6 linked regions of the Neurospora crassa OR74A genome follow. The protein of the gene in region 1 binds, or shares a complex with, the protein of each later gene. Links are inferred from orthologs where the notes say so. Each region holds a gene or a part of one and is shown in the gene's direction. Other genes may lie near its edges.

What was found.
Region 2: NCU06354 (region 1) and NCU11251 share a complex: the UniProt entries of both Saccharomyces cerevisiae proteins name them as parts of the U4/U6-U5 tri-snRNP complex. The link is inferred for Neurospora crassa OR74A from reciprocal best matches to the Saccharomyces cerevisiae genes SME1 and PRP4.
Region 3: NCU06354 (region 1) and NCU00505 share a complex: the UniProt entries of both Saccharomyces cerevisiae proteins name them as parts of the sm core complex. The link is inferred for Neurospora crassa OR74A from reciprocal best matches to the Saccharomyces cerevisiae genes SME1 and SMD1.
Region 4: NCU06354 (region 1) and NCU03625 share a complex: the UniProt entries of both Saccharomyces cerevisiae proteins name them as parts of the sm core complex. The link is inferred for Neurospora crassa OR74A from reciprocal best matches to the Saccharomyces cerevisiae genes SME1 and SMD3.
Region 5: NCU06354 (region 1) and NCU01614 share a complex: the UniProt entries of both Saccharomyces cerevisiae proteins name them as parts of the sm core complex. The link is inferred for Neurospora crassa OR74A from reciprocal best matches to the Saccharomyces cerevisiae genes SME1 and SMX3.
Region 6: NCU06354 (region 1) and NCU04606 share a complex: the UniProt entries of both Saccharomyces cerevisiae proteins name them as parts of the U4/U6-U5 tri-snRNP complex. The link is inferred for Neurospora crassa OR74A from reciprocal best matches to the Saccharomyces cerevisiae genes SME1 and PRP6.

Annotation. Positions count from the first base shown.
Region 1 is NC_026504.1:2,807,020-2,810,027, forward strand, and holds NCU06354 (small nuclear ribonucleoprotein E), read left to right. Parts: upstream 1-1,430; 5' UTR 1,431-1,599; coding exon 1,600-1,740; intron 1,741-1,804; coding exon 1,805-1,831; intron 1,832-1,886; coding exon 1,887-1,955; intron 1,956-2,025; coding exon 2,026-2,079; 3' UTR 2,080-2,337; downstream 2,338-3,008. Other genes in the region: NCU06355 (karyopherin), read right to left, coding at 1-281, 361-450, 533-661; NCU06353 (hypothetical protein), read right to left, coding at 2,338-2,975. UniProt on the Saccharomyces cerevisiae protein: Involved in pre-mRNA splicing. Binds and is required for the stability of snRNA U1, U2, U4 and U5 which contain a highly conserved structural motif called the Sm binding site. Involved in cap modification.
Region 2 is NC_026501.1:4,871,908-4,875,663, reverse strand, and holds NCU11251 (pre-mRNA splicing factor), read left to right. Parts: upstream 1-1,179; 5' UTR 1,180-1,336; coding exon 1,337-1,381; intron 1,382-1,445; exon of another isoform or gene 1,446-1,469; coding exon 1,470-1,503; intron 1,504-1,558; coding exon 1,559-3,060; 3' UTR 3,061-3,256; downstream 3,257-3,756. UniProt on the Saccharomyces cerevisiae protein: Involved in RNA splicing. Is required for the association of U4/U6 snRNP with U5 snRNP in an early step of spliceosome assembly.
Region 3 is NC_026501.1:8,193,054-8,196,352, forward strand, and holds NCU00505 (small nuclear ribonucleoprotein Sm D1), read left to right. Parts: upstream 1-1,453; 5' UTR 1,454-1,580; coding exon 1,581-1,594; intron 1,595-1,712; exon of another isoform or gene 1,713-1,813; coding exon 1,814-1,981; intron 1,982-2,059; coding exon 2,060-2,249; 3' UTR 2,250-2,799; downstream 2,800-3,299. Other genes in the region: pkr1 (ER membrane protein), read left to right, coding at 390-893; NCU00504 (hypothetical protein), read right to left, coding at 2,908-3,299. UniProt on the Saccharomyces cerevisiae protein: lays a role in pre-mRNA splicing as a core component of the spliceosomal U1, U2, U4 and U5 small nuclear ribonucleoproteins (snRNPs), the building blocks of the spliceosome. Also binds telomerase RNA and is required for its accumulation.
Region 4 is NC_026505.1:1,887,150-1,890,943, reverse strand, and holds NCU03625 (small nuclear ribonucleoprotein Sm D3), read left to right. Parts: upstream 1-1,335; 5' UTR 1,336-1,519; coding exon 1,520-1,567; intron 1,568-1,638; coding exon 1,639-1,699; intron 1,700-1,787; coding exon 1,788-1,917; intron 1,918-2,051; coding exon 2,052-2,163; 3' UTR 2,164-3,294; downstream 3,295-3,794. Other genes in the region: NCU03624 (hypothetical protein), read right to left, coding at 3,329-3,794. UniProt on the Saccharomyces cerevisiae protein: Plays a role in pre-mRNA splicing as a core component of the spliceosomal U1, U2, U4 and U5 small nuclear ribonucleoproteins (snRNPs), the building blocks of the spliceosome. Also binds telomerase RNA and is required for its accumulation.
Region 5 is NC_026502.1:2,951,576-2,955,151, forward strand, and holds NCU01614 (hypothetical protein), read left to right. Parts: upstream 1-1,396; 5' UTR 1,397-1,707; coding exon 1,708-1,815; intron 1,816-2,017; coding exon 2,018-2,109; intron 2,110-2,219; coding exon 2,220-2,292; 3' UTR 2,293-3,076; downstream 3,077-3,576. Other genes in the region: NCU01615 (hypothetical protein), read left to right, coding at 1-971; pp-2 (protein arginine N-methyltransferase HSL7), read right to left, coding at 3,242-3,424, 3,531-3,576. UniProt on the Saccharomyces cerevisiae protein: Plays a role in pre-mRNA splicing as a core component of the spliceosomal U1, U2, U4 and U5 small nuclear ribonucleoproteins (snRNPs), the building blocks of the spliceosome.
Region 6 is NC_026505.1:1,527,808-1,532,066, forward strand, and holds the start of NCU04606 (pre-mRNA splicing factor), read left to right. Parts: upstream 1-1,459; 5' UTR 1,460-1,552; coding exon 1,553-1,887; intron 1,888-1,999; exon of another isoform or gene 2,000-2,039; coding exon 2,040-4,259. UniProt on the Saccharomyces cerevisiae protein: Participates in pre-mRNA splicing. Part of the U4/U5/U6 tri-snRNP complex, one of the building blocks of the spliceosome.

The DNA of each region.
Region 1 (3,008 bases):
GACAAGGTGATTTTGCGGCCTTCCGTGACCTCTTCGGGAAGTACTCGTAGGAAGTCCAAGATGCAGGCGTGGCTGGATACATCATCTCCGAGGGCGCTGACGACGGTCTGCAATACATCCTTCCAGGACTGCATCTGGATGGCTAGGATGGCCAGACACACGCATAGTTGGACTCGGACGGGCTTGGGGCCACTGGCGAACTTCTTGAGGAGGACTAGGATCTGGTTGCGAAGAGCAGCATGTTCACTTTCGGGAATTTGCGTTGCGAGGTCGTAGGTAATCTGAGAATCGTGAATGTCAGCGGTGCGCGACATACAAGCGTAGCGGTATCGTCGTGATCCAATGGGTATCTGTAAGTACCTTGCCCTTCAGTGTCGTTGCTGCGAAGAGTTGCGCCTCGGCTTCGGGAGAGCCCTGCAAGATCGATATTGTGGTAGTCCAGGCCTCGTTCTACGGTCGATTGAGAAATGCGGGTTAGTCACATGCGAACCATAGGTGTGTTGGCGTCGAAGGAGCTGAAAGCCCAACTGACCGACTTCTGAAACTTTTGCAGGTAGTCCATGGCGGCCTTCTTGGAACCGGAGTCACCACTCCGCATCGTCAGCATGGCCTGCAGGACATTTGGGGTGGTGAAGCCGTCTGTGGCGCCGTTGGAAGCCATGTTGGGCAGCTTCGGATTGTGTATGATGTGATTTAGCTCGAATACAAGTGTTGTGATGGCAAGTGTTGCGATGCGGTGTTGCAAGTGGAAGCTATCGCTGGGGTATCGCAGGTCGCAAAGTGGATGGATCAGCCCCTCCTATTCGACAGGAGTGTTGTCCGACTTATCGGTCTTGCGACGCGATGGAAGCTTTCAGGATATGTTGTTGTAAAGGCGAGGAGCTGCGATGCGCACGGGGTATATGAAGCTCCAGAGAGGTTGCAAGAATAAAGGACTGGGAGGTATTGTACGGTGCCGCCGTGGTGACAGGATTGCTGCAAGTTGGAGGTTGCCGGCGACGATTTGCTCTTGAGCGTCCAAAGAAACGACGATTGAAAAACATCCCGCCAACAATCGAAGAACGTCAGGCTGCCTGACACCGACCGACCGCGAGTGGAGTAAACGGCGGCGGGCAAGCGGGTCAAAGAAAGTGGAAGCACATCCTGCACCGCCATAAGTGGGACAAGCGGGAGGGGCTCATGCTACCCCAAACTGAAGATTCTGTGGCTTGAGAACCCAAGCAGCTCGGAAAAAGTGAATTGAGCTGAATGCCAAGAGGTTATGACACGACGCTGTGGGCCCAGCAGCATGTAACTAAGTGCACAGACCAGCTGAGCAGCTCCCGTCCCGTCCCCGGCGGGAGGTGCTTGTGAAAACAAGAGCTCCACACGCCAGAGACAGACAGGCAGGCAATTCGACATTCGGGGGAAATTCATTGAAGTCACGTCCCGGCCGTAGAGAGAACGCGTCTGGGAACAACTGCAAGCCAAGCCCAGCCGACCAACAACGACCATCCACAACTTGATTGCGACTTACTTGTTCAGCCTCCACATCACCATCAAACTTCTGTCCTAAACACCGGCCAAACGACCAAACCACAACAAACTTTTATTCTCAACATGACCGGCAGAGGTGGTGGCGGCAACCGCCGTGTTCTTCTTCCTCCCATCAACTTCCTCTTCCGTCTTTTGCAACAACACTCGACCGTCCAAATCTGGCTGTACGAGCAGCTTCACATTCGCATCATCGGCACCATTCGTGTAGGATTCTCCATCGTGACCTCCCCGAAGAGCAAACATAGGTGCTGACAATTCCGTCTTACAGGGCTTCGACGAGTTCATGAACCTGGTGGTGAGTAGCGGCGCATGTCCCACTAGCACTACGAGACCTAACCCCATTTCCACAGATCGACAATGCGATTGAGGTCAAGCTGGTCTCCAAGACAAACGAGACGGAGGAGAGGAGGGAGCTTGGGGTAAGAATATGTTTAGGGCTGGACGTCGATGTTGTTGTGGCAGTGGAAAGGGTGGCTAACTGGGTCGCAGCAAATCCTCCTGAAGGGCGACAATGTCTCGCTCATCCAGAGCTACTCCGGGTGAAGAGCTCCAAACCTGAAGGAGAAGCGGTAATCGACGATGCAATTTACGCTGGGACCTACATCGAGCGACGAGCCAGCAGATCTAAAGCTGTACATAGACGGCCCACAAAGATGTGGTGCGTGGCCTTCTACACAACAAACGACACCGAATCTACGAAAGAGATACCAGGGAAAAGCGATTGGCCGAGGCGCACAGGAATGTCGACTATATGTATTTGATCAAAGGAAGGCAGTACGGGATGGATATCAGGTCATGGAACTATTTGGGTGCAGGAGGGCTCTTAATCTCGCCATTTCCGAGTATCAGGCCGTCCAGAGGTTGATCGTGGCGACCAACAGGTACCGACCCCTCGGATGGAGAGGATAGAAACTGCTCAGACAGCGCTAAGCCATAAAGCAATACAGGGGTTTCCTGCTTCCCCAGCTCGACAGACTTTTGGTTGTGCCGGTTGATGAAGTAGTCGTAGAAGCCTTTGCCGTGTCCGAGCCGTCTGATGGCCCCAGCTTCCGGGTCAATGTCGAAGGCCACGCCGGGCATGAGGATCAAGTCAAGCAGGGTTTGGTCGGAGTGGTGGGCGTCGGGACCTCCAAACACCCTCTGCCGCTCATGGACCGTGGCCGGGTCGATGCTGGGAATGCCCCATCTGTCTGGCTTGAGGGACTCATAGTCGTGAAGATCTCTGAGGCGGACCATGTCCATGACGCGGGCTGGGAGGTTGGGCGAGGCCAGAGGGTTCTTGTGAAGATACGGGATGAAAACCTCCTTGCCGGACTCTAGAGCGTGCCTGACGATGCCATCGGTCTGGATCTCGCCCGTGGGCATGGACAGGAACACGCTGACCCGTTTGGCGTCTACGTAGGGCTTGAAGTTCCTCAGAGTGTTGAAGACCACAGAACCTGCAATTGCGGATTTAGTCTGCGCTGGCAGTA
Region 2 (3,756 bases), on another chromosome or scaffold:
GTCGTCGACGGTCTTCTCGATATGCATTGAGGGTGGAAAGGCTCGATGAGATGTGGTTTTTACTGTCAAGAAGGAGAGAGAGAAAGAGAAAAAAAACAGAAAAGAGAAAAAAGAAGAGAGTTGTGACTGGGGGAGCGTGCGAAGAGAGAGGTCGACAATGGCAACAATGAAATGGAGTTCCGTGGGCAGCAGAAGTTAAAATAAAATGGAGCCCGGACTCTGCACCTGCAGTGAATTAGGATGGGCCTGGACCGGGTTTGTGACCTTGGGTATTACCTATGCACAATTTAGTACCCCTAGGGACTGGAATGCACTAGCCGGGCAGGGGGCCGCGTCCGCCTCACCCAAATATCCCGCCATTGAGCCAACCACGATAAAGAGAAAAGCGTTCACATCATGCGTCACGGTCTGGGCAGGCCGGGCAGGCCGGGCAGGCGAGCAACTGAAAGGGCGGAAAGACCAGCTGGATTGGTCTGGTGAACTTAAAGGAAAAGGAGGAATTGGCGGGCGTTCCATGTCCCAGGAGGAATTGGCGAGAGCACGTGAAAATCGGGTGAGAGACATCAGACATACGTCTCACCCGCATTAAAGGGAATGCACCATCGGCCATTTTCCAGGCTTTTTCCACACTAGCTTTCAACCTGAAAAAAGCCCCATGTTGCTCTCCATGTCCAGAAATGAACCTCCAATACCACACGGCAGGTGTCATGTGTGTATAGGTAGTGTAGTGTACCAAGGCCGCTGGATGCCGACCCCGATCTTCAGTTTTGACAAGTCTGGGGAATCCGAACAGCCGGGGCTCGATTGGCGGTCATTAAACCGCATTGATCGACGGGCTGGGAAGGGGGAACTGGCCGCACCGTTTGTGATCGCGCTTCCATGTCACCTCGGACCAAACCTACCGTGTGCGAAGTGGGTATTAACGAATGTTGACACCAACAAGGAATCTATCACATATCACATGAAACTTTGAAATTTCAAGTACCTCTTTGAATGATCGGTGAAAGCTTCATGGCGATTCGTTGGTTCACCTTAAGACGAGGTGCCCGTGGTGCTAGGACCGAGATGAGCGCATTCAGGTGGGACAGCTTGTTGAGGGTTAGGGTCGAAGATGCGCCGGAAATTTTAGTGGAGCTCCCGCAACAGCAACGGCGCCAGCATTGTAAACTTCCCTGTGATTGCATCACCTGCTATTTCACGACAGCAAGCAAAACATCGAGCCCTCACATCAAACGGTCCTTTAGCAACCACAAGCCGGACTCGAATCACCTGGCTTTACTCGCGTTCAAGTGTCCAGAAGATTTAGCAAACGAACAAACACCGAAAGTTTAGCACTATGCATCCGGCGCGTAGAGCCTACGTGGAGGAGGCCGAGCCTGAGGTAAGACCATGCTCTATATGCGCCCCTCGCATCATTGAAGGCACCTGCTCAACATTGCAAACAGAGCCCGGACTGACCCCCCCTGAAGCAGGATCGCGGAGGCATGGATCTAGACTCCGTCCGTAAGTCCCCAAAACTCTTGTATGGCTTCCAACCCATGACTGATTTGCGTGTTAGCCCTCGATCGCGACTACGACATCCCCGGTGCTGGGGCTGGTATTGCCCCAGAGAAGGCCTCCGTTCTTCTATCGCAGTTTGAACGAAAACGATTAGCGGCTTCGATTGCTGTTCCTACCGACGATGGCCGGGTACGAGCCAAATTGCGAGAGATGGGCGAGCCTGTCACCCTCTTCGGCGAGGGTCCGGCAGACAGACGCGACAGATTACGAGAACTCATGACACAACAAGCCGAAAAGGGAGGTCAGGAAAGTGCCGATGTGGAGATGCGGGACGCCGAAAACGAGGAAGATGAAGCCGGCGACCAAGAGGAGGAATTTTACACTACTGGAAGCCCGGAACTGCTCCAGGCCCGCATCGACATCGCTCACTACTCAATCCCGAGAGCTAAGAAGCGCATCGAGTTCCAGAAGAAGGAGTCCACCATCCCACTGCGGACACATGTCAAACACCGAAAAGAGATCAAGGAGAAGCTTCAAGGGTTTGAATTGCAAGGCAGTCAAACGGCAGGAGAGCGGCACATCAGCATGACAAGGATCTCGCCTGATGGAAACATGGTCGCAACTGGCAATTGGGGCGGACAGGTCAAACTCATCGAAATCCCAACCCTTGAGCCAAGGAAGACTTTGAGGGGCCACACCAACAAAGTCAGCGGCCTATGCTGGATGCCTGGAGCTACACTGCCGGAGCGCAATGTTTCTCCCGACACAGTCAATCTCGCTTCCGGAGGAGCGGAAGGCCAGATTCATCTCTGGTCTTTGAACCAAGACACGCCTTTGAGAACTCTCTCAGGACACTCGCAACGAGTATGTCGTGTAGAGTTCCATCCATCGGGCAAGTATCTGGCTTCTGCCTCAGAAGACACGTCATGGAGGATGTGGGATGTTGAAACCGGCACCGAGCTCCTTCTCCAGGAAGGTCACTCTCGCGGTGTATACGCTGTCAGTTATAACAGTGACGGATCGCTACTCGCTAGCGCGGGTTTGGACAGTATCGGAAGAATCTGGGATCTGCGGACAGGACGGACTGCCATGATTCTAGATGGGCATCAGGACGGCCATATCAAGCCTATTTATGGTTTGGACTGGGGCTCGGACGGTTACAGGGTGCTCACGGCGTCTGCTGATGGTTGGATCAAATGCTGGGACGTTAGAAAAGTGGAAAGAATTGGAGGCATTGGTGCCCATACAAGTGCAGTGGCCGACGTGCGGTGGTTCAAGGGGTTGGATGACCCGTTGGAAGGAGTGCCTCCTGGCGAAGATGAAAAGGGAATGCAAATTCCCAAAAAATCCGGCACCTTTATGGTGTCGGCAGGCTTTGACCACAAGGTGAACATATTTTCCGCTGACGACTGGGCCTTGGTTCAGTCTCTCAGCGGCCACACAGGGCCTGTTGCGAGTGTTGACGTTAGCCGGGATGGAAAATGGATTGTAAGCGGTGGCCATGACCGGACGGTCAAACTTTGGGGAAGAAACGACTCCAGGAGCTTGTATGATTCCTGAGCAGACATCAATCATGTGCGCGACAAGAATCTTGTCGTTGCCTCTCGCATAGGAGCAACACACCAAGGAGGGCGTTCAGCAAGCGACAGGCCAGGGCTTGGCTTACCGCTCCACGAGAGACAGTATCGGCAGATAGATTGCATAGAAGCCGTCTCAATTTGTAGATCAACAACCACAACTGGGTGCCCATAACAAGCTGCCTTTGGTACATGCGTCTGAGTTGCCTTGTGGTTGCGTTTCACTGACCCGGTAAGGATAAGGGGTGTCACCTGACCGCGAAAGTGGGCCTGTTGAGATTCCTTCTCCCTTCTTTTCTGCAGTGACGCGGGCAGGGTTGGGCGGGACACCTGCCGCTCGCGTTGGTTGGCGTTGGTAAAGTCACCCTGGCACCCTGGGAAATGGTGACGCACGGTCCATCGTGCGAAGCTTGGCTTTCTGATAAAGGGCGATAAAACAATGGCAGCAGACGCCATCACCGGGAACTTGTAGCGTTGGTCCGTTTTCGAACCTTTGACTTCTTCGTTTCTCGCATTTCTGCATTTTCAAGTGGTTTTATCCCCAGCCGGTATTTATCGCGAGAGACGTCATTCACAATACCCTCAACTCACAGCATCCGGGCAGCTCAAGTCCCCATGCGCATCAACCCGCTCAAAGCTGTCTGAAGGGCGACACGGGGAGGATTCGCTTATTTGGGAA
Region 3 (3,299 bases), on another chromosome or scaffold:
CAAAGGCCAAATTATACAACTAGAATAGGTCAGTAGTTGAAGAGCAACCGTGTCTTGTGATCTGGTATCCATGGCCCTGTCCTCTCGGCGGGTGACCAGCTCTTCGGCCCTACGGGCTTTGTCTGGTTGGGCTGCACATCCTCATCCGTCCCCTGCCTTCTGTCCCTCGTCATTTATAAAGGTTGTGAGGCCGTGACTAACCCTCTCTTCGACTGTAGTCATCCACTACGAACCATTGACTTTACTGCGAGTTTGTCTCTTCGTTTGTCCGCATCGCTTCCACGGCGCATCGTCCTGAACACGAATCGACAACAAGAATTTTCCTCTACACGACATACCTTCACGGTCAAACTTTTCAACGCCGACATAGCGCCAGCCTAATCTTCCCAATGACATCCTTCGTTACAAATCTCTGGGAGTCGATCTTCACTCCGGGGCCGACTCCCACCCTCCTTATCGCGACAAATGTCACATTTGCCGCTCTGCAAATTGTCCTGGCGTGCCTCCTCTTTGCGACATGGAGTATCCACTTCGTAATTCTCTCGGCTCTCTGCGGTGGACTCTGGGGATCCATCAACTGGTTCGCGGCGGAACTGAAGGTGCACCAAATCCAAGAAGAGGAAAAGGCGAGAAGAGCCAAAGAAGCAGCGCCAACTCCAGTCACATCGGAAGACAGCGAAACAGAAGTAGAGGCAGCTACATCGACAGCTAGCCTCACGAGGCAGGAGTCAATTGCAGAGGCGGTCAGCCATGAGGTTGAGCCTATCCAGCAGATTGGAGAACTGAAGCACAGAGTGGTTGAGGAGACACCGAGCCTGGGCACTAAGAGCGGCGTCAGCACGGAAGATGAGTGGGAGAAGGTTTCGGAGAACGAGAACGAAAAGGACAAGTGAATATCCTGGCGATTGAGCGGGGACCGACCACACGCAGAACGTACAAGCGAATGTCGTGTTAGCGAAGTTACCATGGCATCCTGTAAATAGTGTCATGGTCCGCTTTCGTGTTGGAGTTGAGCGACGATGGCATTTACACATCCACCCTGTTTTCGTTCTTCATTGGATGAAAGGAGAGGCAGTTGAAGGCTGTAAGCCCTATGTTCGTTTCATAGTCCTTATCCTGCCATGAGGCATCATGATCTGTGCAACTACAGCTATAGCTTCAGAGACAAAGTCATAGTAAACAACACCTTGTTGTTCGGCGTGGCAGTTAGCCAGCCCATCTTCGTGTACCCCAATTATCTGGTTGCTTCAACTCAGCACATGAACAGATCATGTGCAGGGCAGGCAATTTATGGATAGCTTGAAACCCATGACTTCCAGGGTTAGGGGCTTTCAAGCCGCCGTTTGCCTGTTCAGCTCGGCTCACGTGATTGAGCACGGGCTCTATCTTGGCGCGTAGCGACGGCAGGCTATCTGCTCCACCCTGACGCTTGGATGGTTGTGCAAGCGTCCAAGGAAGCTCGACAAGCCTTCTCCCGTCGCGACTGTTGATTGACAAAGTAACAAGCTGGTAATCGAGACCTTGTCACCACCAATTCCATACAACACATATTCGATTACGCGTTGTCCAAATAAGTCAAGATGAAGCTGGTCAGGTAAGATTTCTCCTTGCTTTCTGATACTTCGCTACATGTACCCGATACCCCATCCCACCCGACTTCATTCCTATTCTCTTGCACGACGCATGCTGAGCTTTGAGTCCTCGCCTTCAAGGCTGCCAGCCCGTGTTCGCGCGCGTCCATGCTGCTCTACTAGAAAAAGAACACCAAGGGCACCAGGCTGACGAAGTGGAATCCGTTACTTCAACACTGCAGATTTTTGATGAAATGCGCCAACGAGACGGTGACGATTGAGTTGAAGAACGGCACAATTGTACACGGCACTATCGCCTCGGTCACACCCCGCATGGACACTGCGCTTCGCAACGTCAAGATGACCCCCAAGGGCCAGGACGCTGTGGCTCTAGATGCCATGAACATTAGGTAAATCAACCCTTTCAACTAAGGGGGAGTGGCCCTTTTCAGTTTTCGAGGGCATCACTAACTATTGAAACCCTACAGGGGCTCGACCATCCGTTACTTCATACTCCCCGATTCTTTGCCGCTCGATACATTGCTAGTTGATGATTCCGTGAAGCCCAAGAACAAGGCGAGAAAGGAAGCGGACCGCAGCGCCGGCGGCAGAGGTGGCCGTGGTGGCCGTGGCAGAGGAAGGGGAATGGGTCGCGGCCGCGGTCGTGGCCGTGGCTAAGCGGATCTCGTTTCTTTGGGATCGGCCACGGCGTACGTCTCCCTGGACGACAGAAACGTGCGAATTAGATTTTTTTTCAAAGACGATACGATGCTATACTACGGTTAATGGTGGATTTTTTTCGGTTTTTTATGCCCCCTTCGGTCGACCGGCTTGACCGTCTTGGTAGGGAAGATCAAGGCCGGCCCGAAATAACGTCCGGTGGCGACGACACGACAAAATCGACGATGAGTGCGCTTCAGAAAATCGAGGAGCATATCCCAGATCTTCACTTGAGCGACACTCGAGATTCACCTCATTCGCATCGAGTGTTACACACATAAACACCACTCCCCCTCATCGGATCGGAGCAGAGGGCAAGCATTGGGATTTCGTTGCGGCGTTCTGGACAGGATAAAATCACTTTGCTAGCGGGAAGGGAGAGAGAGAAAGGCGCGCCCAACCGCCACCGGAATGAACTATTTTATGTATCACAAAACAGATAGACGGCGATATATGCCTACTGGAGAAGGCGGCACAATCAGCAACTCTCTATACCAAATTTCCCCCAGAATTTTCGAGCCTTGTACGTGACTGACCATCGTCCTTCCCCCTCTTCCACCCTCTTCAACAGCTTCCTCCCCATCCTCAACTCATCACCAGCATCTCATCCCTCCATTCACCTCCAAACCCTCACAATCTGCAACTTCTCCCAACCCGCCTGCCTCCCACTAGTCCCCACCGTCTCTGCCTTCCACTTCCCTTCACCACCCATCACCCTGATCCTCCCTTTGACCTCCTCCGGCTTATTCTGCGCACAAAGCAGAATATACGCCACCCCCCTCTCGCTCAACACCCCCGGCAAGGCCTCAATCAGTCTATCCGTCGTCTCCATCCCATCCCTCCCTCCAGCATACGTCAACTCCAAGAGATGTGAGTCTTCCTCAAACGTCGTTTTCTCCTTCAGTGCCTGCAACCCTGTCGGTGGCGGCGCAGGCAAGTCAGGCGTAGGGACGTAGGGCGGGTTGAAGACTAGGACATCTACCGATCCGGGACGAAAGGGGGAGACGA
Region 4 (3,794 bases), on another chromosome or scaffold:
AATTACCGGAACTGATGGAGTGACCAGACCAGAGATCTTCCACTCGGAACTGAGATGTCATGTAGCGTCCAGCGCTAGAAGTTGGCAGACACCTCCTGGAGAGTGGTGAGACGTCCAATCAGGGCAAAGACGAGGACATGATGGTGGGAGGTGGGATGCAACCGGAGCTGCCGTCGAGCTTGTCAAAGCTTGCTAGTACCGCACCATCACCACACGATCCAGCTCACACAGCGAGATAACAAAGAAGGTGGAGAGAAAAGACCGAGAACTCGGAGCAACCAAGACGGAGGAGCAGACGCACACAGATCATGGTCTCTCGATGCACATGCATGCAGCCTATAACAGCCAGTGCTATGGAAGATCAGTCCACGCCAAACCCACCTGCCGCAGCTCGAGGTTGAGACGGTTAGTTGCCTCGCCCATTCAGCGGTGCCGGGGCGGTTCGTGGGGTTTGATCATAGGGTTTGGGCATCAAGCTGACAACACAGCAATTGGCCGGCGGCCCACTTGGCCAGCCCGTCACTGCGTTTTGAAAATGGGACAAGGCCAGATGGCCCCTTACTCGCTGGACTACGTAGCCGTGCAAGCCGTGGTCGTGGCCGACAGGGAGCGAGGATGGAGGCATGTATGTAGTAGCATGATGCAGAAGGACCCGGGTACGGCATCTCTCGGGGCGCGAGGAAGTCTGGAGAACGTCGAGGGGCGTTTTCTGTCCTGTATCACGTCCCGTCCTTGGCTGATAGGCAATGGCTAGACGAGGCCGTCGAGAATGTGGGAGTTGCTCGTCAACGGTTGGCTGGTGGTATGGGGCAAAGCGGGAGGGGAGTGACTGTCCAATATTCGGGGACAAGGGTGAATTGAGAACCGAAGGACCTCACATAATTCAGCGTATAGAACATCGAAGAAGGCCTCATTGAGAAAAAGGTTGGGGATGCTGTGTTCAATGCGTTGGACAATCCCATCCCCGTGACGGCCGCCATCATGCGACGACTCGGAACATGAGCCAGGAAAGTTGAGCGATAACGGCGTTCGGGGTGCTGAACCAGACAGTTCATACTTTGATTGAGTACAAGCGTATGACAGCAGGCCGGTAAATTCCACTTACTGCCAATGGGTTGAAGAAAGAAGGTTTATGTCAGTGACGATGACGAGGTTTTGGATGACCGAAGACCACCAGTTCACTGAATGTGGGGACAGCGCAGAAGAGGCGTGTGGGGAAGCCTCCACACTTCCTTGTAGTGTAGGACCTCAATGCGCGGTACGTACCGTGAGATCTGGCAGCTGTCTTGCAGCTGACAAGATCAACTAAGCTCTCCGACGAAATTCCCAGCAGCACCGGGCTGACAGGGCTGCCGCGTTCACGTCAAAGGCAACTGATCGCATCCACTATCATCGCGAACCAAGTCGCCTGTACTTACGGCATACCATCTAGGTAATCTCTAAAACCAACACCAAGAAAGATCAGTTCGCCCCTCCACATCGCCAACCAACCTCACCACGTAATAACACAGCCGCCAACATGACTTCCACAATTGGTATCCCCATCAAGCTCCTCAATGAGGCTCAGGTAAGTAAACACCATTGCTATGCACAGACTGTAGTGCTGCCAAAAGCTAACCAACCACTCCTGTCCCACAGGGCCATATCGTCACTCTCGAGATCACCTCCGGCCAGACCTACCGTGGCAAGCTTATCGAAGGTACTGCTAACCCCCATGAACTCTTCATTCCCATTCACTCCTCTAAACTGGCCAGCCATGCTAACCAATGCGCTCCCCCGCAAAACAGCCGAGGACAACATGAACGTCCAACTCAAGGACATCACCGTCACAGCCCGCGACGGGCGCGTCAGCCATCTCGAACAAGTCTACATCCGCGGCAGTCATGTGCGATTCTTTATTGTGCCGGATATGTTGAGGTACGTTCAAACCAGGCCACCACCAACTCATCCGTTGCGATTCTTCTCCCCAGTTGCCCCCTACCTACCCAATAAGTCGGATAGGACCCAAGCTAATCATTTCCTCCTCCTCTTTTTTTTGTGTTCCCATACAGAAACGCCCCCATGTTCCGCTCCCGCAACGTCCGCGGCCGCGGTGTCGGTCTCGCCCGCGGTCGTGCGACAGTCAGTAGGGCGCGCGCCGGTGGTCGTGGCGGCGCCAGATAGAAGACAGCGAGCGCCGCCTGTCGTCAGACTCATCGACCAAGACCAGACCCAGACCGAGAATCATTGAAAATTTCACAACGGAATGCAATATTGGGGCACAATAATCGGCATATTATGGCTCCTTTTTTTTTTCCGCGCGCAACGACAACCGCTATTTTGATATTTTAGGCGTTTTGGGTGGGGGGAACCAATAAAGCAAACTTTGATCTTCTTTCTACCGAAAATGGGGGGCAGCGAGTTGGATGGAAAGAGAAAAGTGTGGGGGGCAAGCTTTGGATGCCCAGAGAAGGAGGAACAGGAGGGATAGGGAGGAGGGTGGCTCAAGGCCGGCCAGAGATGAGAAGGGACTGGAGTGAGTGCTGGGGCTGGGATTGGAGGGTTGAGAGCCTCGATGAGGAGTGATATGGAGGACGCCAGCTGGCCCCGCTCATCCATCTGCTGCCAAATGATGATCATGGGAGAAGCGTGGCGTATCCAGGGGTTTTCACGCTCCGCCAGCTGGACGATAATGGTCGGTCGATGCAACAGCCGCTACCCGTCCGTCAGCACGCAACGAAAACCTGGCTTCATCACGGTTAGCAGCCAGAGCGAACCAGGTGTTCAGCCAGCCTCAGGTCTCCCCCCAGTTGAGTCCTTGGCCAAGGAGCGAGCACATACAGCATGGATCGAATCGCACCGAAAGCGAAACTCCTACTAGCCCTGGTTCTGATATAGACAGGGTACGTATTCAACGTCTTTGTCTATTATGTTGTTGTACACACAACCCATTCCATCTTCAGCCTACGCTGACAGTTTTTGATATCTACCACAAAAGTCCGATGCCCCCTTTTTACTCCCACTTCGGCTTGCTTTTTTAATGGTACATAAGAGTGTAGCCCTGGTTGATCTGTTGCGTCCGCCGGTTCTAACCCGCCTGTCCCTATATGTGAGGCTCGCATAAGACGAGCTTGCAACAATGCTCTGAGTGAGAGTGAATCGTGTAGACTAAATATACAACTGGCTGTTTAAGGGTTGAGTTGGAGAGGGCATATTGTCAAAACACCCACCTAAGGGACTAACAGGCAGGGCGAGAGGGCTGTGGAAAATAATAAGCACAAGAAGTCCGAAACTGACCAAGTTCGGTTTGCAGAATGTCCTTCTAAACATCTGTTGCAACCCATCATTTCTACTTCAGCCTCGCAAGCGCTTCCTCGGCCCGCTTGAGGACACTCTTGGCCTCCTTCAGCTCCTCAATCTCAACCGCCACATCCTCGGGAACTTCAGGAGAAACGCTATCCAGCACCTCGGCAATGCTGGCTTCGGTTGCGCGAATAGCCTTGCGTCCTTCCTCACGAACCTCGCCCTCCCAGAAATCTCTCGCCCTCTCCCACCTTTTCTGCAAGCCCCTCAAACTCAAAACAATACCCAAGGCGGCGACGGCTCCACACTCATATATTCCGAATCCAGAGAGCCAGGACATGCCGCCGAGTGCCGTGGTGGCTCCCGCTAATGTTGATGACTGTAGCACGAGCTTCTGCGCCAGTGCTTGCAGGGCCGGAACAGTTTCCGCTAGTAGATAGTTTCTTGTGAAGGGGATATGCGCAGGCCAATTTCCCTTGGTCTCTGATTCCGTAGTAGCAGCAGTAGTAGCA
Region 5 (3,576 bases), on another chromosome or scaffold:
TCAAGCTCTACACCCAACTAGCCAACGCCCACCCGCGCGCCGTCCTCACCGACCTGATCGACCGCTACCTGGACCCGCGCGAATCCGCCCTGGCGACCGTCGACGCCCGCCTCCGCTTCGGCGAGGCCCTACTCCAAGTCGTCGACCGACTGGGCCAGACCTTCACCGGCGACCTAGCCAAGATGACATGCGAAGCCCTGATCAGCCTGGCATCGCGCCGGGGGCATCGGCCCAAGACCATGGCGCGCCAAGCGCGCGAGGCTAAGGCGCGGGAACAGAAGCATAAAGAAGCCGAAGACGCGTGGGACGGCAGCGTGCCGGATATGGCGGATCCGATTTCTGCTGAGGAGCAGGCTAGGCTTGATATCTTGGAGGCGATTGTAGAAGGGTGGTCGTCTGGTACTTCCAAAACGGGTGAAGAGGATGTAAGGATCCGTGCCTCTGCGTTGTCAATTCTGGCGAATTGCATCGAGACGAATATTGTTGGTGTCGCGGCGGTGTTGACGATGGCGAGCGTGGATCTGTGCATTAATGTTGTGCAGGTAGAGCGGCAGCTGGAGAAGGGGATACTCAGGAGGGCGGCGGTGAGGCTGATTATGAGCTTTATCAAGGCCATGGACGAGGCGAAGCACGAGGGGAGGGTGTTGGGGATTGCGTTTGGGAGTGAGACGCAGGAGCAGCTGAGGACGATTTTGGGGTATGTGGAGCAGACGGACGAGGATGGGTTGGTCAGGGAGTATTGTCGGGATGTGCTGGAGAGCTTGGAGAATTGGAAGACGAATAGCTTGGTGGATGAAGTGTCGTTGAGCCAGGCAAGAGGAGGAGGGTTCGGTGGTGGTGGGTTAACGAAGCTGGCTGGGTTGGTTGTCGACCCGGAGAGGTCGGTTTCCCATGGTGGTGATGATAGTGGTGGAAGTAGTGGCGGTGTTGAGATGTTCGGCGGTAGACCTAGGATTGAGGAGATTGAGTAAAATATCTTCACCCAGTATGGGACTTTATTAATTCAAAATGACTTCCTGTCAGGTCCTGAACAGTCCCCTTCCATTTCGTTTCAAAACATCGGCGTCTTCGAGGGTCTTGACCTGAAGGTGTAAGTGGGCATCGGAAATAATCAGGGAGAGATGTCACCAGGTAAACTTGAGTGAAGAAGTGAAAGAATACACTAAGCTATGTACCTGAGTAATGATAAGCAAAAGGATCGCCATAAAGGTCTTGGTGATGCTCATCATCGTCGCTGTCAACAACATCAAGTATCCTCTAGCCACCAACCCTAACCCTGTAATCTACTAATCAGACAGGCTTATTGCCACGTCCAATCAGCTATCGCGTTAGGGCTCCACATGTCCCTCGTAACAGAGGAACTTCCATCGTCGCGCTACTCCAACGCCGCAAAGGTCCAGCATTGGAGGCACAGTCCCAGTTGGAGCTTCTTCCATCATAGCATCAACGCCAATCCCATCTCTCTTCCCAACTTTTCATAACCATAACCTCGACCTTGTTGCGTCCACCCGACCACAACCCACTCTTACACATCTAAGAAAACCGACAAATACAAAATTCCATTAGCACCAAGCCGAATCGCGAATCCAACTTTCGAGCCGTCCCATCGACGACAACAACAACAACAACAACAGCAAGCCTGTGAATACACACACAAGGCGCCACGCACTTGACCAAGAACCAACCCTTCGAACCGAAACCGACAACATGTCTTTTGTCCCAGTTAACCCCCGTCCCTTCCTTCAAGATCTCGTCAACAGCTTTGTGACGATCCGCTTGAAGTGGGGAGAGACGGAGTATGTTGGCCGTCTTGTTGTACGTATATATATACATATCCAGCATCTTTCTTCCAATCTAGCCTTCCCTTTGCCGCTGGACTTTGGTCTTGGCATACACAGCTGTGGGAAGCGATGGGGAGGGGAGGGGAGGGGGAAACCAGCAGGCAGGACCAAGGAGCAACGAAGGAAGAACAAAGAGAGAGAGGCTGACGAAATGCGTGTGTGCATGTGAACAACAGAGCATCGATAGCTACATGAACATTCAGCTCAGCGACACAAAGGAGTACATCAACCGCAAGTTTACGGGCGCCTTGGGGCAGGTTCTGATCAGGTACGTCCATACTGAATACATCCCACTGCTACGGCTTTCCATACGGACGACCCAATCCCCCATCTCGTATCAACTAGCCGGGATGCTGACATTATGGACTTCAACAATAGGTGTAACAACGTTCTCTACATCAAGAAGGCCGACGAGGCGGAAACAAGTGGCGACGTCAAGATGGAAGAGTGAAAGTTCTCTCGCCACCAGGAGGAGGAAATGAAAGGGTAGCCTAGACTAGCGGGCAGGGTGGTGAAGGGCGCGATTTGCAGAACAGACAGGAGGAATGTGTGAGGAGGGAGGGTCGTGATGTTCCGACTATAATACCCTGGGAGGAAAAAAGAAGAAGAAGAAGAGATGGATCTACTCTACCGACCAAACCAAACCGAGCCGAACCGAAGCACAAACCACAACGCACCCGCTCGCCGAAAACTCGTTTCCCAATGATGAAAGTGTGCGCTTCACGAAAGGTGCGACAACAGCTTTGATGATATCGGGCGCGCATGGTGTGGAGAGTGGTACGGAAGGGCGGATTTGCTTCAAGAGAGAGTGAACGGTGGATGGATGGATGGATGGGTACCGAGCGTCTCTCTGTCTGGTAGAGACCTTCGTTGCATCTCCTGCGCAAGACCGTCAAAGGAGCATGTGCCATCTGGCCTTTCCTTGAAGATAAAGGCTAAAATAAGATGTTGGAACAATACTCAGCTTAACAGGAAAGAAAGAAACAAAAATCTGTCAAGACCACACATCATCTAGGTACTGAGCAAAGAAAAGGAAGTGGCGGGTTGAGTTAGACATGCGGACATGGCGTCTGGTTTCCAGGTATTATTTCAACTGAAAGAAAAAGAGAACGAGCGGCGTGAATTTCTGTTAGTCTCAACTTCCACTTGCCTATACATCACACGACTACAGGCAAAGACAGTCACCATCATCATACACATCGCGCGCCTTCCCAATTATGAACATTCTATCCACCATTTGACTTCGAATCTTTTATTCTTTCGCTAAAACAAGACTTTTGACCTTTTCCTCGCAGCGTTTGTTACAGCTGCATACTTACACACTCCTAACACCCGACCTAGCCAGCCTTGCCCACCACCTACTGGTACCTAGTTACCTCCGTTTTTACATTTCCTCTCTTCTAACCAAAAATGCAGGCAACCTTACGACTGCTATGCATCTCAGAAGCGCCAACCTTGATACGGGTCTTGGGACCCACCCAAGCATACACTTCAACCATCCACTCGTACCACACCCTGGTGTCGTCGGTCTGGCGCCACATGCTGACTTCTAGCTCGGTGTCCTGAGGGAAGTAGAGGGGTTGCTATGTATCGTCGAAGAAACAGGGTCAGTAATCGTCACCAAAGCAGGAGCGAGGAGCGAAAAGTCAAGAAAAACAAGAAATGAAGGAAGAAGAGATAAAAACTCACCCTAAGAGGGAAGAAAATCGGGAACCAGGAAATCATGTCCTTGCTC
Region 6 (4,259 bases), on another chromosome or scaffold:
AATTGATATATCATACTGACTGACAGCCGAGAGATGCCGGAACTCAACTGGTAGCGGCGTTGTTGCTTGGACCCAGAAGAATATCACGGCCGCTTGGGCAAAGGCAAGCCCCATCAACGCGTTTGCAAGAGTCGATGTGTACGCCAACAAAACACCGGGTTGTCTGAGCCCGGACCAGTTCTTTTCCGAACCACCATCGCTCTCGAGAACGACTCCTATAGCAATTCCTGTACCTAGTCCTTGCAGTTAGCATTGTCGGTACTTGGTCACAGCCTCAGTGTTGTGGTGAACGTAGGAACGAGTACTCACAGCTTATACAAAAGATCAGCGGAATTATCCCAAACCAGGGAAAACGTCTGAAGCCGCCTGGTTTCCAAGAGATCTTACCTGCGGAGTCATTTGATGAGTGTTTGATATGAGAAGACATCGGGTTTTTGATCAGCGGCTCCATGACTATCACATCAAGCTCTCCTGTGATGGACGAGCAAGAAGGTCTGGACCGAATATGTGAGTGGTAGTAAAGGGTGAAGAAGCGAGCTAGATGCCCATACTTATGAGATTTAGTCAACAGGAGGGTCTCGAAATTGCACATTGGTGGTTCGAGTGGGCGGCGCTGGAGTAGCTTTCCTTCAGTCGCCATGAGTGCTTTGAGACAGTGTATGCAGATTGGAAGCACCTTGTGTACAGACGTTCAAGTTGTGCGAACTCGGATCCCGCTGTATACTCAATCAGGGACGTGGTACTGAATAAATATACCTAGGTAGACGGCCGGCAAGGAGCTAAACCCAGCCTAAATTCATTGCAGAATAAAAAGGCATAGGCTCAGTCATCGTGTGCCGTTGTACAGCATGTTTATTGTAAACAGGAAAACCTGTGTTACGAAGTCTCGGTGAGGGAGTATATTCGCCTTGCATGGTGCCGCCTTTGCGGTTAACCTGACCGTGAAGGTTGAATGGTGCGAGGCATAAATGCTGTAGTTGCCGCACCTGCACAGAAAGAATTTAAATGGGAGGTTGAAGTTGGACATTGTTGGCTAGGCTGATCGCAGGCATTGCCATAGATGAATAATGCATTTCCCTTAGTGATGCTGCAACACGAAGAGCAGACGAGCATCTGGGTGAAGTTGTCCCACTTCACGCCTCACTGAGCCAGGCCATTTCAGTTGCCGACGGCAGGAGCGCTGAAATATCGTCATAGTTGTCTTCTATGGCCATCATGGCTCCGCTGACTGGTGATGGTGAAGACGGGAAAGGAGGTAGATGAATGATAGGAGGAAGTAAACAACGAAAGTGGAATTAAGCCGCCAAGCACTGGTGGAGTCGTAGACTGTTTACTTGGCACTGTGCCTGCCATTCGTTCGTCAAATGCCAAGAGCGCCTGGACCAGTGGCAGGCAGGCTTCAGTGCCCTGGAGTTCGACTTCCACTTCGACTTGCAGCCTGCCGGTATTTTGCCGCTAACTCAAATGTTTGGAGCTACCTCTACGGCCACCACGGTCACAATCCTAGCCACCGCGTCTCTACAATACATCACGAATACAGAAAACCGCCACCATGTCTAGACGGGATTTCCTCAGTCAACCCGCACCCGAGAACTACGTCGCCGGTCTCGGTCGTGGTGCCACGGGTTTCACTACACGATCCGATCTTGGTCCCGCGCGCGAGGGTCCTAGTGAAGACCAGATCAAGGCGGCCGTCGCGAAGAGATCTGCACAGCTAGGTCTGACCGAGGCCAAGGACGACGACAATGAAGACGATGGCCGCTATCAGGATCCCGACAACGAAGTCGGCTTGTTCGCCGGCGGCATATACGAGAAGGACGACGAGGAGGCAGATCGGATATGGAAAGAGGTAGACGACAGGATGGCGAAGCGGCGACAGAAGCAAAGGTTAGTCATTACCTCGTATACATCACTTGACATCCTACATAAATTCACAAAACACCCTTCTACCCCTTCCCCAACACTTTCAAGCAAGCATGTGGTTTATCGGTCAAGATAGATGAAAAGCAGAGTACCGACAAGAAATCGCATTTTCACAGGGAAGCACGAGAAGAAGCCGAACGATTAGAGTACGAACGAAAGAACCCCAAAATCCAACAGCAATTCGCCGGCCTCAAACGAGCGCTCGAGACGGTCACCGACGAAGAATGGGCAAACCTACCAGATCCCAAGGACCTTACCGGCAGGACCAAGAGGGCACGCCAGGCTCGCATGGAGCGCTTCTACGCCGTTCCCGACAGTGTCCTCGCTGCCGCGCGAGATTCCGGCCAGTTCGGTACCACCGTTGCAGAAGACGGCACCGCCACCGAAGGGGTCAACAAGGATGGCACAGTTACAGATTTCGCAAAGATCGGTGCGGCTCGCGACAAGGTGCTGAGGGCGCGCTTGGAACAGCAATCACAGTCGAGTAGCGTGGCCACGGCGGGAAGCGCGACGAGTATCGACCCCAAGGGCTACCTGACATCGCTGTCGAGCATGCAGGGTGCGGAACAAAGCATTGGAGACATTGAGCAGTTCAGGAAGATGCTCAAGTCGGCTGTCGACTCGAACCCCAAACAGGCAGCCAGTTGGATTGCTGCAGCGAGATTGGAAATCGCGGCGGGAAAGCCTGGTGCTGCCCGCAGCTTGATTGCCAAGGGCTGCGAACACTGCCCGAAGAGCGAGGATATTTGGCTGGAAAACATTCATTTGAACGACAACCGGAACGCCAAGGTCATTGCGGCACAGGCTATTCAAGCCAACCCACACTCGGTCAAGCTTTGGGTGGAAGCGATGAAGCTGGAAAACGACCCTAGATCAAAGAAGAAGGTTATCCGGAGAGCTCTCGATCATAACCAAGAGTCCGAGGCGCTATGGAAGGAGGCTGTCAACCTCGAGGAGGACGTCGAAGACGCCCGCATTCTACTAGCCAAGGCGACGGAGCTTATCCCGGAGTCGCTCGACCTCTGGTTGGCACTGGCCCGTCTCGAGACTCCCGAAAACGCCCGCAAGGTTCTCAACAAGGCCGTCAAGAAGCTTCCCAACTCGCACGAACTCTGGATCGCCGCCGCTCGCCTGGAAGAACAACTAGGCGAAGGCAAGAAGCGGCCCGTGATGAAGAACGCCGTCAAGTTCCTCGCCAAGCAGAACGCCATGCCCAAGCGCGAGGAATGGATCGCCGAAGCAGAAAAGTGCGAAGAGGAAGGCGCCGTCATCACTTGCAGCAACATCATCGAAGAGACGCTTGGCTGGGGTCTCGACGAGGACGATGACCGCAAGGAGCTCTGGATGGAAGACGCGCGCGCCTCCATCAACCGGGACAAGTTCGCCACAGCGCGCGCCATCTACGCCTACGCCATCCGCGTCTTCCCCAACAGCAAATCGCTCTACACGGCCGCCATCGACCTGGAGCGCAACCACGGCAGCAAGGAAGACCTCTGGCACGCGCTCGAAAAGGCCGTCGAGGCCTGTCCGCACTACGAAGTCTTCTGGCTCATGCTCGCGCGCGAGAAAGCCGCCGAGGCGGGCGTCGACGAGGCACGCCTCGTCCTTGCCCGCGCCTTCAAGCAGAACCCGGACAGCGAGGACATCTGGCTGGCGGCCGTCAAGCTCGAAGCCGACAACGGTTTCATCGACAAAGCCCGCGAACTCCTCAAGACCGCGCGCCAGAATGCGCCCACCGATCGCGTGTGGATGCGCTCCGTGGCGTTTGAGCGTCAACAAGGCGTCAACGAGGCCGCTTTGGATCTCGTCCAACAGGCCCTACAGCTCTTCCCTTCCAAGCCCAAACTCTGGATGATGAAGGGCCAAATCTACGAAGACCTCGGCCAACTTGGTCCTGCGCGGGAAGCCTACAGCACCGGCGTGCGCGCCGTCCCTTCGTCCATCCCGCTCTGGCTTCTGTACTCTCGTTTAGAAGAAAAGGCCAACAATGTCGTCAAGGCGCGCTCGGTCCTCGACCGCGCCCGACAAGCCGTGCCCAAGTCCCCGGAGCTATGGACGGAACTCATCCGCGTCGAGCGGCGCGCGGGCAACTTGAACCAGGCCAAGTCGCTCATGGCGCAAGCGTTACAGCAGATGCCCAAATCGGGCTTGCTGTGGGCGGAAAGGATCCTCAACCTCGAGCCGCGCACGCAGCGGAAATCGCTGCTTGCCGAGGCGGTGAAAAAGGTGGAAGACGATCCGATCCTGCTGGTCACGGCCGCGAGAATTCTGTGGGCGGAAAGGAAGCTGGACCGGGCGCAGAACTGGTTCGAGAAGGCGCTGTTGCTGGATCGCGA